Caenorhabditis elegans: one gene and its partner. The protein of the gene in region 1 purifies or fractionates together with the protein of each later gene. This does not show direct contact. Each region holds a gene or a part of one and is shown in the gene's direction. Other genes may lie near its edges.

The links.
Region 2: the proteins of nspg-13 (region 1) and Y48C3A.20 fractionate together in Caenorhabditis elegans (co-fractionation; one large-scale study listed by BioGRID). This does not show direct contact.

The regions. Positions count from the first base shown.
Region 1 is NC_003284.9:5,253,371-5,257,636, forward strand, and holds nspg-13 (DUF19 domain-containing protein), read left to right. Parts: upstream 1-1,823; coding exon 1,824-1,875; intron 1,876-1,936; coding exon 1,937-2,061; intron 2,062-2,288; coding exon 2,289-2,341; intron 2,342-2,390; coding exon 2,391-2,545; intron 2,546-2,980; coding exon 2,981-3,098; intron 3,099-3,146; coding exon 3,147-3,292; intron 3,293-3,348; coding exon 3,349-3,377; 3' UTR 3,378-3,485; downstream 3,486-4,266. Other genes in the region: nspg-14 (DUF19 domain-containing protein), read left to right, coding at 430-528, 578-698, 954-1,016, 1,067-1,158, 1,210-1,327, 1,387-1,529, 1,581-1,597; nspg-12 (DUF19 domain-containing protein), read left to right, coding at 3,939-3,972, 4,023-4,139, 4,187-4,266.
Region 2 is NC_003280.10:13,367,687-13,375,929, forward strand, and holds the start of Y48C3A.20 (tRNA pseudouridine(55) synthase), read left to right. Parts: upstream 1-1,920; coding exon 1,921-2,064; intron 2,065-2,111; coding exon 2,112-2,206; intron 2,207-2,268; coding exon 2,269-2,371; intron 2,372-2,855; coding exon 2,856-3,079; intron 3,080-4,247; coding exon 4,248-4,407; intron 4,408-5,913; coding exon 5,914-6,199; intron 6,200-7,023; coding exon 7,024-7,421; 3' UTR 7,422-8,243.

The DNA.
Region 1 (4,266 bases):
TTTACAAGTATTCAAAACTAAACAAGACCGTTCCACAGTTATTAGATTGGCAGAATTAAGTCTTGCACTAACCGGATTGCTTTTGCTTACTTATCATCAGTTTTGATAACGAAAAATTCCACGTGTTGCCCGGTAACGCCTAAATACTATTATGACTAAGTAACTTTTGCAAGATCGGGAACGTTCCCAAAATGAAATCTGCACAAGTATTAGACTACTGTAATTTCCTAAATCTAATGTGATTGTTGGTATTAGTTGCGTCACAACTAGCGGCGGGCATTTTCTTATCAAAAAGAAAATGTACGGTGGCACTGGATACGACTTTTAGAAACCAAACATTCCAGGCTCGATTATTTTTCAACCTATTAGAAGTTCTGGGAAAAAACTGAGAGACATGACCTTAAAAAATAAACCAATGAAAAGTTTCAGGCGTTGTGGCGGCACAAAACCCAAGTTTAACGGCATGCGATATCAATAACCAGCTAAATGTTTGTCAGAGTCAGTTCAATCAACTTTTGGGATTTGATGGTAATGAAACTGAAAAATAGAATTAAGCACAAAAGTTTTGGTGTTTCAGCTTCTCTCGGTGCTGCCAAATATCAAGACTTGAGAAGTGCCATTGAGCAGTCGTATGCCAATAACCAAGCATACGGGCTTCTTACAACTTGCGATGCCTTCAAGCAGTACAAGCAGTGCTAGTAAGTGACATAGTTTGCAATGTTGTGAGATTCACAATGTGCGACGGGAATATCTCAGTCGGTAGTGTGGTGATCGCAAGCAATCATGAGACCACTAGTTCAAGTCCTGCCTTTCCCTAGGATCACCCAACCTAGCTTGGGAATTAGAGGAATCCACTAATGGCTCGTGGCTTGAAACTAAAGCCTAGTGGGAGTTTAAAAACGGAACACCCTTTGATCCTTTAATTTTTACATCTCAAATCAACTGATTTATAGCCAACCAAAAGAACAGTTCTACGCATGTGCTCAGAACCCATACGGTCTTCTAACTGGAACCAAGTAAGTTCTCAATTCAATATATACTGTAACAGTTTTTGTCTGTTCTTCAGCAACAACGGCGCCCCACTCACACAGGATCAGGCTAATGGATACGTAAAAATCTGGAACCAACTTGATTTTGTCTGTGGTGCTGGATTCTCGAGTAAGATTAGCAATTATACTGTAATACTGAATACTAGAATTGAATTTTCAGTCTTTGCCAACTCTGAAGTTTGCGGCTCTTCTGTCTTTAACAACCAGACAGCTGCAATGAGACAGTGCGACAATGACTTCAACGTGAAGTCCATGGCTGACCCAGCTCAAGCTTGCGCGTAAGTTTTCAAGTTTTGTTTCCAATCAAAAAGAATAATGAATAATCTTAACTTTCTAGATACGTTGAGATCGCAGCCAACTGCTACTTCCAACTGTTCTGGAACGCTTGTAAGAAGCCAGAGATGGCCTACTGGGGTTGCAACTACGAGCGTACCGGTACCAATCTTCTCTTCCCACAGTGCTCTCAGATTTTCTGCACATGTAGGTTTTCAGAATGGGATGGGGTTTAAATAATGTTTATTTTATTTTCAGTCCACGAACGCGTCTGATCGTCTTTTGTTTAATCATCTCCATTTTTTGTTTTGGTCAAAATGTTTTATTTGAATTCACATTTTTGGGAATAAATCTATGTAATTTAATTCATAATTTTTTAATTTCAAAAATTTGTTTTCGTTTGAAATGCTTCAATGCATTGAATACTTCTGACTTTGTGTGTGTGTGTGTTTTTTTTTGCAAAATTAAAAATACATATTTGTGCTCACATTATGCTTTCAGATGTGGCAAGACCGGTGTTTGCCATTTCTTGCGTTGATTCTTGGATTGTCAGGTAAGTAAATTGAAATTAAAACTTGTGAAATATTTGTTTTAATCTTATTTTTTTATTCCAGGAGTCCAATCAGCCGGTCTAAACTGTGACTCGACGGTTTATTTTGAGTGCCAAACTGCTCTCAATGCGGTTTTGAGCATCAGCGACCCACAGCCATGGTTTGACCCCGAAAACTTCCGCAAGGAGGCAAGTTTTTAATACAATAGTTTCCACGCTTGCCATTCCATGAAATGATAACTGAATAAGGTGATATGACGAAGGGTGTGCATAGTGAAATGTGAAATGTGAGGTTTAGAACGTGTCGATGATAACTTTTAAGTCAATGGGATTAATTATGTCATCATGATTGTATTATAATCTGATTTTTTGATTATCAGAAAAAAGAGCAAAACACAATTATTGATTAAATTTAGGTGGAGACAAACTACCAGGCTCAAGGACCCAGTGGAATGCGTAAAGTTTGCAAGTCAGTACTTCACTAGATACTCTCTCTCGAATCCTGAATATAATTCCAGAGCTTTCCGCGAGTTTAAAGTTTGCATGGGCTCTGAATACGCGAACTGCATGTCTGCGGTCCATTTTGTTTCTGTATCGGCCACTCCATTCAACGCTTATCAATTTGTTGGACTGTTCAACCAAATGCACTTTGTCTGTGGAGCTGGATTGCAAAGTATGAATTTTTATTGTCATTTCCCGACGCGATGTCGGAATTGAATTTTGTTGAGTACACAATTACACATCTTTTTGGCATGGTATGAAGTTTCTAGAATAGGTGGAAAACACGGGGAGTGTCGAAATCAAACTTTCTGGGGCTTGCTGCTGTGGTAATTTATACACATTATGAGACTCTTAGAGGAATTTCTGAGTTATGATTAGAATAGGCATGAATACTAGCACATATTAGGTTTAAAAAAAACATTCAAGAGACGCAGGAAAATATGATATACATGGGAAATAGGTCCATCGCTGACCACAACCGAAGTCGGCTGCGCATTTACTATAAATTCCTAATTTGCTCAGAGATCAGAAATCGATTAACACAAAAATAGCGCCTTATACAGACTAATGGATTCCAACCGTAACGAGGTAACTTTCTTCATTTCAGCATACCTCCTTAATGAGGGCTGTATGTCAACTACTTGGAGAAGCCAAAGTGATGTCCTGAGACAATGCCGACTAGATTATGAGGTGAACAGTGACGTTGACGCAAATCAGGCTTGCACGTAAGAAGACCATCGGGTATTATTAAAAAACGCCAACCAAACTTACAGACAAGCCAATAAGTACTTGATTTGCTTCGAAACTCAGTTCAAAAACAACTGTGGTGAAAAATCAAACGATGCCATGTTCTGGGCTTGTGAATACTCAAGAGTCAATGTTTTTACTCGATTCCCTCAATGTGCAGCTAGATGTGTTTGTAAGTGAAACTTGAAAATTGTGAAATCTAGTAAAATTGATTTTGTTTTTTTGCAGTGCCATATAGCGGAGGAATCATCGGATGAGTCGAATAAAACGAAATGATGTCAGATACAAACAAATTATTAACTTTTTGTCATTCAATCTTAACTATGTATTATCATTTGTGATAAGAATAAATTTTTATTACTGAGAAAATGCCATCGGTATAGTATATGACAATCTATTGGTGTGGCGATGGGGAACTTCATGAAAAGTTTTGAAAAAAGGGTTTTGAAATAAATATTGCCAATAGCTTTTTTGGGACGTTTTCAACATTTGGTATATTAAACATTTTGGTAGGACAACAGATTATAAGCAAATTATTATTGAAAAAAAACTATTTTTTGACTGTGTATCTTTTATAAATTGTTTTACTTATTATGCAATATTTGAAATAAAAAATTAGTTTTTTTTTCATTCGTTTTAAAATTTCACCGTCAAATTCAAATACAAGGTTCCGAAAATACTTTTTCCGCTTAGCCCATTTAATGCAATAATCAATGTCTTTTAAGCGTACAGGATTATTGATAATCACTTCAACTGATAAGGACTGCAATTCTTAATCCCATAAATGAAACATTTCCCTAGCTTTTCCGTTCCACGACATGCTGTTGAATGTATTGATTGCGGTGTTGGCAAGTAAGTTCAAAATGTACCCCCAGATTGATTGACCTTTTAAGCATGTTCAGTAGCACCAACAGCTTTTTGTGCATGCGCTCCTTCAACTACAGGTACATGCACTCCAGATTTACTTCAGTGTTGCGGGCTACAGCTCAAATCTGATCTAGGCTTGTCAAACTGTTATGGTAAAGCTTTTATAACAATTTAATTGAATGAGCTATCAATTTTTGAGGAATTCTTGCTTTCGAGCCTGAATGTCACCGTCAAGAAATTGAAAACATGTACATCAACGGTATAAGTGGTTTGTTCAAA
Region 2 (8,243 bases), on another chromosome or scaffold:
CCTATCTGCCTGCCTACCTACCTACCTACCTACCCACCTACCTACCTACCTACCTACATACCTACCTGCCTGCCTGCCTACCTGCCTACCTACATACCTACCTATTTACGTGCTTTCGTGTTGTTTTTCCTCAAAACATAGTTTTTTCATCCGTTTCTCGGTATTGTTTCTGTAGCAAACACAATCTGGAATATTATTATTTTGGAGCTGAAAATATACAAATATTTTCAGCCTTAAAAACCTTATCACCTAGTGGTTTTTGATCAGCTTACGATTTAAAATAGCCCGGAAACGAGGTGGTGGGGGTGGAAACGGAAATTAAATATTGTTGGTTATGAAATTTGAATTGAGCAAAAAGGAAACGTTGATGATTCGTATGTATTTTATTTTAAAATTTTAGAATTAGGGAGGTTTCCAGAAAATTAAATTGGCGATATATAAGTTGTCCAATTTTAATATCTTGTTATTATACAAATTGTTGTATTTTTACCATTTCAGTGGCAATTCTGATAGCTTTTTCTCTAAGTTGACTGTTTTTGGACCATGTATTTTGAACATATCAGAATGATGAAATATCGATCTCAAATGCTCGGAGAGAATAAGAATGACTGGCAACACTGGTACCGACTGAACACATTGAACACCAGGGACGTACAAACTGTTTTTAAAAATCAGAATTTATTAAACCATTTAAGAGAATGCAATACATGAAAAATAATTAACAGATTGAAAACAAAAGTAAACATTAATATTAGTTGATATAAGTAGGAAGTGTTGAACGAACTGCAACGTATCCCGCCATCATTCTTTCAAATAAACTGAATTCAACCATTCGTGTGGTTCCATGAATGTTTTGAATTATAAAAGCTGGTTCACCATTTTCTAATACAATTTTCTCAGATAAATCTTTCATGATTGAGGATGGGTTCGAGTGCGGCGATTGACTTTCAAACTTATAGACCAGGAAGTTTAACCCTGGATTCCATCCATTTTTCCAGTGTTTGATTATTAAAGTCAAATCTTTTTCAGACAAAATTGTTTTCCCGCATTTAAGTGAAGGGTTATCCATTACTAGCAAATCATTTAGTGTTACAGGAATGTATACAAAAAGACGAAGAACGCTTTGAAGTCCAACTAAATTTTGTCTTGTTACATTTGTTTCGTCCTCAGACCACAATGATACATTCTCCACGTGAGGCAGTTTCTCAAGTAATTCATTGATCCTAGTTGCTCCGTCAATTGTTACCTCTTCAACTTTCAATCCATCAAAGTTTGTTTGCGTGAACTTTAGAAAGTGAGTTGCAATGTAACGGCAATATCAACCATATGAACTGTTGATATTTTCAGCAACTGCATCAAATGATCTATCAATCCTCGCGTGCCAAATATTTTTGATATTTTCCATTCACATGTTGGAACTCTTCGACTACCGTCAAACGTTCCGAATTCGAGATGAAATGTGCCATCGTCCATAATGTGGCATGAAATCGAATGACGATATCGCCGTCTATACAAGAATTCAACAGTAGCTGTGCGGGAAAACTCGATTGAAAATTGACCTCTCCATGGACCCCTCTCTATAGAGACTAATTAATTAGTTGAACATTAATTATGATTTTCGGAGAATTGCGAATTTATGAATTATATTTTTCCATATAAATATTTTCCAAATTGCAAAAAATGTTTCATTGTGGATCAATTTGAATTCGCAACTGAACGAAACAGTGTGGCAATTGAAGAGACGGCAGACATTTCTGTGCATACACCGTGACGCGCAAATGCACACATCTCGAATTTATTGTGTTTTCCTCTTTGTTCGAGTTTTTTTTTCTTTTTTCTCATTATAATCCTCAAAATGCTCGGTTTTTCTCGATTTTTTTTTGTTTTTTCAATAAATTTACTTAATTTTCAACATTTCAGATGTCAAATGACAAAACTCCGCTAGTTTTGTGCGAAGTTTGCGTGCGACAAATCTCTGGAGACGCGGAGGAAGTGACAAAATGCGAAAATTCTTTCGAATGTCAGCTTTGCTTCGGGATTATGGATCAGGCAATGATTGATGAGGTTATAACTCACGATTTTTATACAAAATATCCATAAAAATGCTTCAGGTCGGCGAAAAAGTGCAAGAAGAGCTCTCCAAGCTGCCCTACGACTCGATGAGCTTCATTTTGGCGTTGAATTTGCCCGTTGGACAGACTTTAAGGTGATTTTAGAATCATTGTTGATTTTCCGCCGCCAAAAACTCGAAATTTAAATTTTTGACAGGGAGATTCTAGTAAGCCGTCTCCGACCGGATTTCAATGGGACACTGGCTTCTGTTCCGTATAAAGTGCGAAATATTGATGGATATTTGAAGAAATTGGGCTCTGTAAGCTTAAATTACCTAAAAACGACTTTTCCACGAAAAAAATCCATTTTTTTTTGTTAAATTCGGAGTTTCCAACGTTTTATACCCTCAAAAATCAATAAAAACTTGGAAAATGTTGAAAAATTGCTTCAAACTCCAATTTCTACCTTCAAAACTTAAATTTTGAAATACTGAAGCCATTTTTCTAGGAAAAAATATGAAAAATCGCATTTTTGGAATTTTTCTACTTGAAATTCCAAATTTATCGTAGAAAAATGCATTTTTGAGCAAAAAAAAATCCGTTTTTAGCTAAATTTTACACATTTTTTGCACTTTTGAGCAGAATAATAGTATTTTTTGAAATATTTTCAAATTTTTTACAGTTTTTCAGAATTTTATGCCCTGAAAATCAATAAAAAGTTGGAAAATGTCGAAAACTGCCTTAAAAATTGCCAAAAACTCCAATTTTAGAGTTTTTTGAGTCAAAAATTAATAAAATTTGCAGTATTCCGGAAAACGACCAACTCTGAGCTCAGATCTCCAGCTTATGATCACTTTTGAGCAGGAGGAATCGAATTTTTCGGATCTACAATTTCTTCAAAATCAATTTCCGAACGATTTTCGTGTTGGAAAACGTGGAAGATATAATAATAATCAAGAAGCGCCGTCGAGTGTATCAAAACAGCAATTACAGCAGGTCACTGGCAGGATTAACGAGCAAATTGCAAAGTAATAGCGGTGGAAACCGACGAGAAAATAGGAAATTTTGCACAAAAAATGGGTTTAATAAGTTGGAAAATGTCAAAAACCCTCGATTTTGGACCAAATTTCAGCTTAAAAATTGAATTTTGAAGCTATTTTTCCACAATTTGTCTGAAAAATAGCTCAAAACTTGAATTTTAAAAGTTTTTAGCTATTTTTTCGGCGAAAAAACGATGAAAATTCCAAAAAAAAACTCTTTGTTCGTTATTTTTAACGGAAAATTTCAAATTTATCGTTGAAAACCCCACATAAAAATCCTTTTTTCACTGAATTTTACAATTTTTGAACAAGAAAAACTATTTTTTTAAACAAAAAAAAAAACCAATTTTTTTCGCTAAATTCGGAGTTTCCAACGTTTTATACCCTCAAAAGTCAATAAAAACTTGGAAAATGTTGAAAAATTGTTGCTTCAAACTCCAATTTCTACCTTCAAAACTTACATTTTGAAATACTGAAGCCATTTTTCCAAGAAAAAATATAATTTCTAACGGAAATTCCAAATTTATCGTGGAAAAACCCCACATTTTAACTAGAAAAATGCATTTTTGAGCGGAAATCAATATTTTCAAATTTTAAACAATTTTTCCTTTTTTTTCTCCGAATTTTCACAATTTCAGGCAAAAACCTGTCAAATATTGCAGTTTTTCAGAATTTTATGCCCTGAAAATCAATAAAAAGTTGGAAAATGAATCGAAAACTGCCTTAAAAATTGCCAAAAACTCCAATTTTTGCCGATTTTCGACCGAATTTTCAGCCCAAAAAGCCTATTTTCTCTAGAAAATTTCATATTTAACGTTAAGGGCCCATTTTAGAGCGAAAAATAGAAAATTTAAGACAATTTTTACATGAAATTTCCGAATTTTTTGCGAAAATTCCAAAATTTATCAACAAAAAATCCAAAAAATCCGATTTTTTTGTTGAAAAATCGGAATTTTCCCGCAATTTTTTCACGATTTCGACCTAATAAAATTCTCCAAATTTCCGCAATTTTCCCCAAAAAATCTGAATTTCAGCTAAAAATTGTGTGAATTTGAAAATTTTCACGTCAAAAAATCTGAATTTTCACGACGATTTCGACCTAAAATTCACCAAATTTCACCAATTTTCCCCAAAAAAATCCATATTTTCTCTACAGAAAGTACATCTTCAAATCGCCAACCCGTAAATGCACATTTCAACTTCAATTCGAACGAGATCCAGTATACATTGCTGGAAGATATTGTAAATATTCAAGATGTCTACCACAATCACCGTGGAGTGAGGATAAAGATGCTCCGAGAGAGCCCGGAAATTCGGTTCGATTTTTGAGTGGAAAATTGATGGAAAATTGATGGAAAATTGATGGAAAATTGATGGAAAATTGAAGAAAATTCCACTTGAAACTTGAAAAATCTGGAATTTAAATTTTGAAAAAAATCTAGAAATAACCTTCAAAAATCGGAAAATTCATAAAATTCCGGTGAAATTTCTTCAAAAAAAGCTGAAAATTCAGCGTAATCAACTAATTTTCGAGCCTTTAGAACTAAAAAAAATCGACAAAATCTCATTTGATTTTTCCCGGATTTTTTTAAAATGAAATTACCCAAAAAATGCGAGTTTTTCAACAAATTTTCGACTGTTTAATGAAATTTTGCTCTGAAAATGCAATTTTTGAAGTTTTTTTTTGTTTAATTTTAAAAAATCTATAAAAACCTTTTTTCTGGAGCTTTTGAAATAAAAAATCAACATAAATTTAATGAAAAAATCTAGAAAACATCAAAATTTTTACCCAAAATCCACGGAAATCTCTAAAAAATTTAGAATTTTCATGTTTTTCGGCCAAAATTAGACACATTTTCGACAATTTCCAGGCGAAAAATTGAAGAAAACCCAGTTATCCTGCCAAATTTCCGGGACAATTTTTTGGAAAAATCAAAAAATTCCAATTTTTTATCTGCATTTTCAGATTTGTAATGGAATTTTCTAAAGAAATATTTCTGCTTTTTCTGAATTTACTACAAAAATTTCATTTTCCCCTAATTTTCTGGGAAAAATGCAGATTTTTTTTTGAATTTTCTGGCCTTTTGGAAAAAAAAATTCGGAAATTTCAGTTTTTTTCGAATAAAAAATCTAGAAATGTGAATTTTTTTTGCAAAATAAAGTTAAGATTTTTTTGACTAAAAAAAAAATTAAATTCTGATGTTCTGACCCCTCAAAAATCTAAAAAAAATTTGAGTTTTCAAGTTTTCTGAGCAAAATTTCAAGAAAATTTCCAAGAAAAAAAAAAAAAAAAACCCCTAATTTCTGCAAAAATTCGGTGAAATATTTCTAGAATATTCTATAAATTTAAAAAAATTGAATTTTTCTTTTTTAAAAATTTTTCTATAAAAGTTCCAAAAAAATCGGTTTTTTTTTAGTTTTTAGGGAATTTATAAAATTTATTTCGAAATTTTTCAAAAATTCCAAGTAAAATACCAATTTTTTTTGGAAGAAATCGAAATTTTACCAAAAAAATCATTTCTTACCAAAAAAAAAAGTTTTTAAAAAAACTAAATTTTTTGACGAAAAATCGAAATTTTCAGGAAAATCGAATGTTTTACCGGAAACTACAGTTTTGCCTAAAAACTATCGATTATTTCAAGAAAAATGTCAATTTTACTGAAAAAATCGCGATAATCCGGAAAAATTTTCACATTTATATGAAAAATGGGGAGTTCTACCAACAAAAAAAATCAAAATTTTACAAAAAAAAAATCGAAAAAATTGAAATTTTGAGTTTTTCCCCTAAAAAATCAAAAATTTTTAATTCGAAATTTTTGCAGGTTTCCGAAAAAGTGTGTGACCTCCTGAAAAAGCAATTCGGAGCCAGTGATAGTCGATTCGTGACGTCAGGACGTGAGGATATTGACGTCAGAATGCTCGGAACCGGCCGCCCATTTGTCGTTGAGCTCCGAAATTGTAGAACGACGGCTCCAGTGAGAGGAATCAAGTATTTGGAGACACTGAAGACGGTTCAGGAGGCTATAAATGTACAGAAGGATGTGAAAGTCGTGTCGCTGACCAGAGTTCCACGGGATGTTTCTGAGAAGCTGTGTGTTGGAGAAGAAGGTGCATGCACAATTTTATGGAAACAGAAAATGGAATTTGGAGCAATTTGAACTGAAAATTTGCTGAAAATATTATTTTTTCAGCAAAAAAATCAAGAAAAATCGGCAATTTGTACCAAAAAGTCGGAGAAATTGAACGATTTTCTGGAAAACTAGAAAAAAAACTAAGAAAATCCGAAAATTTGGAGCATTTCGGACTAAAAAAAATAGCTGAAAACAGGGATTTTTCGGCAAAAAAATCAAGAAAAACCGACAATTTGTACCCAAAAAATCGGAGGAAATTGCACTTTTTTTTTTTTGGAAAACTAGCAAAAAAAACCAAAAAAATCCGACAATTTGGAGCATTTGGGCCTAAAAATTACCTGAAAATACGATTTTTCAACAAAAAAAACCAGAAAAATCGGCAATTTGTACCAAAAAGGTCGGAGAAAATTGAACTAGTAAAAACTAGGAAAAAACCAAGAAAATCCGACAATTTAACGCATTTTGGACAAAAAAAAATAGCTGAAAACAGGGATTTTTCGGCAAAAAATTCAAGAAAAACCGACAATTTGTACCCAAAAAAGTCGGAGAAATTGAACGATTTTCTGGAAAACAAGAAAAAAAAAACTAAGAAAATCCGAAAATTTGGAGCATTTTGGACTGGAAAATTGCCGAAAATACGGATTGTACCCAAAATTTGCAGATATTTATGAAATTTTCTGTAAAAAAAAAATCCAAATTTTCAGCAAAAATATCAATTTTACAAAAAAAATTAGAGTTTTACCAAAAAAATGGAGAAAAAAAATCCTTTAAAATAATGCCTAATCTCAAAATTTTTTGCAGACAAACGAAAGCAATATTGTGCCTACTGCTACAGTATTCTCCCAATTTCTGACTCCCAATTCACCGCTGCTCAATCGAAAATCCCGCTGAAAATTGTTCAAAAGACGCCAGTTCGTGTGATGAAGCGTCGAGCTCTACTCGACAGAGAACGATGGATTTATTCGATGAATTTCTTAAAATTGGACGATCACCACTTTGAAGTTCGTCTCGAGACCCAAGCAGGAACATATATCAAGGAATTTGTTCACGGAGATTTTGGAAGGACGAGGCCTTCGCTTGCCGAGCTCCTTGACGTTGAGCACGGAGAAGTTGATATTTTGGAGCTGGATGTGGAGAAAGTTGATTTGGAATGGCCACCGGAGCTTAAGGATGGACAGGAGCCCGTTAAATTTCGATAGAAAATATTGAAATTGAAAATTTCGCACAGAAATTTTGAATTTTTGAGAAAAATGTTTGAAAGGGCAAAAAAAAAAAAATTTTCCTGATAATTCAAAAAAAATCTGAAAATTCAGAAAAATTTGGTTTTTATAGGATTTTTCAATTTTCAAATTTTTTTTGGATTTTTTCCAGAAAAGTTATGAAAAATCTAGATTTTTTCGGTTTTTTTAAATAAAAATTAGCTCAAAAACTTCATTTTTAACGCATTTTTCTTCTAAAAAATTCAGCGAAAAAATCTGAAATTTCCTAGTAATTTTACAGAAAAAATATGAATTTTTCACAGAAAATTCCGAAAGATTAGATATTTTTCTAGAAAAATTGGAAAAAAAATTCGCACAAAAAATTCAGTTTTAACGCATTTTTCTTCTAAAAATTCAAAGAAAAAATACGAAATTTCCTATTAATTTTACCAAAAAACTTGAATTTTTAAAGAAAATTCCGAAAAATCTGATTTTTGTTTGAAATTGAGCAAGCCATTTTTCTTTCCAAAATTTGAAAAAAAAACGCTCGAAATTCCTAATTTCTCACCAAAATTTCTCGTTTTTTCTTCTCAATTTCCCAAAAAATCCTATTTCTGACTAGAATCGCCGGCGTTTTTCGGTTTTTAAGCTTGAAAAATGTGCAAAAATCCATTTTTTCGGAACAAAATTTCACTTTTTCGGCATTTTTTGGTCCAAAAATTCGCAATTTTGAAGCAATTTTTTGATGGAAATCCTGTGAAACCCCGGATTTTTTCGGTGAAAATTGCGGTATTTTACGAATTTTCGCGAAAAAAAATGGTG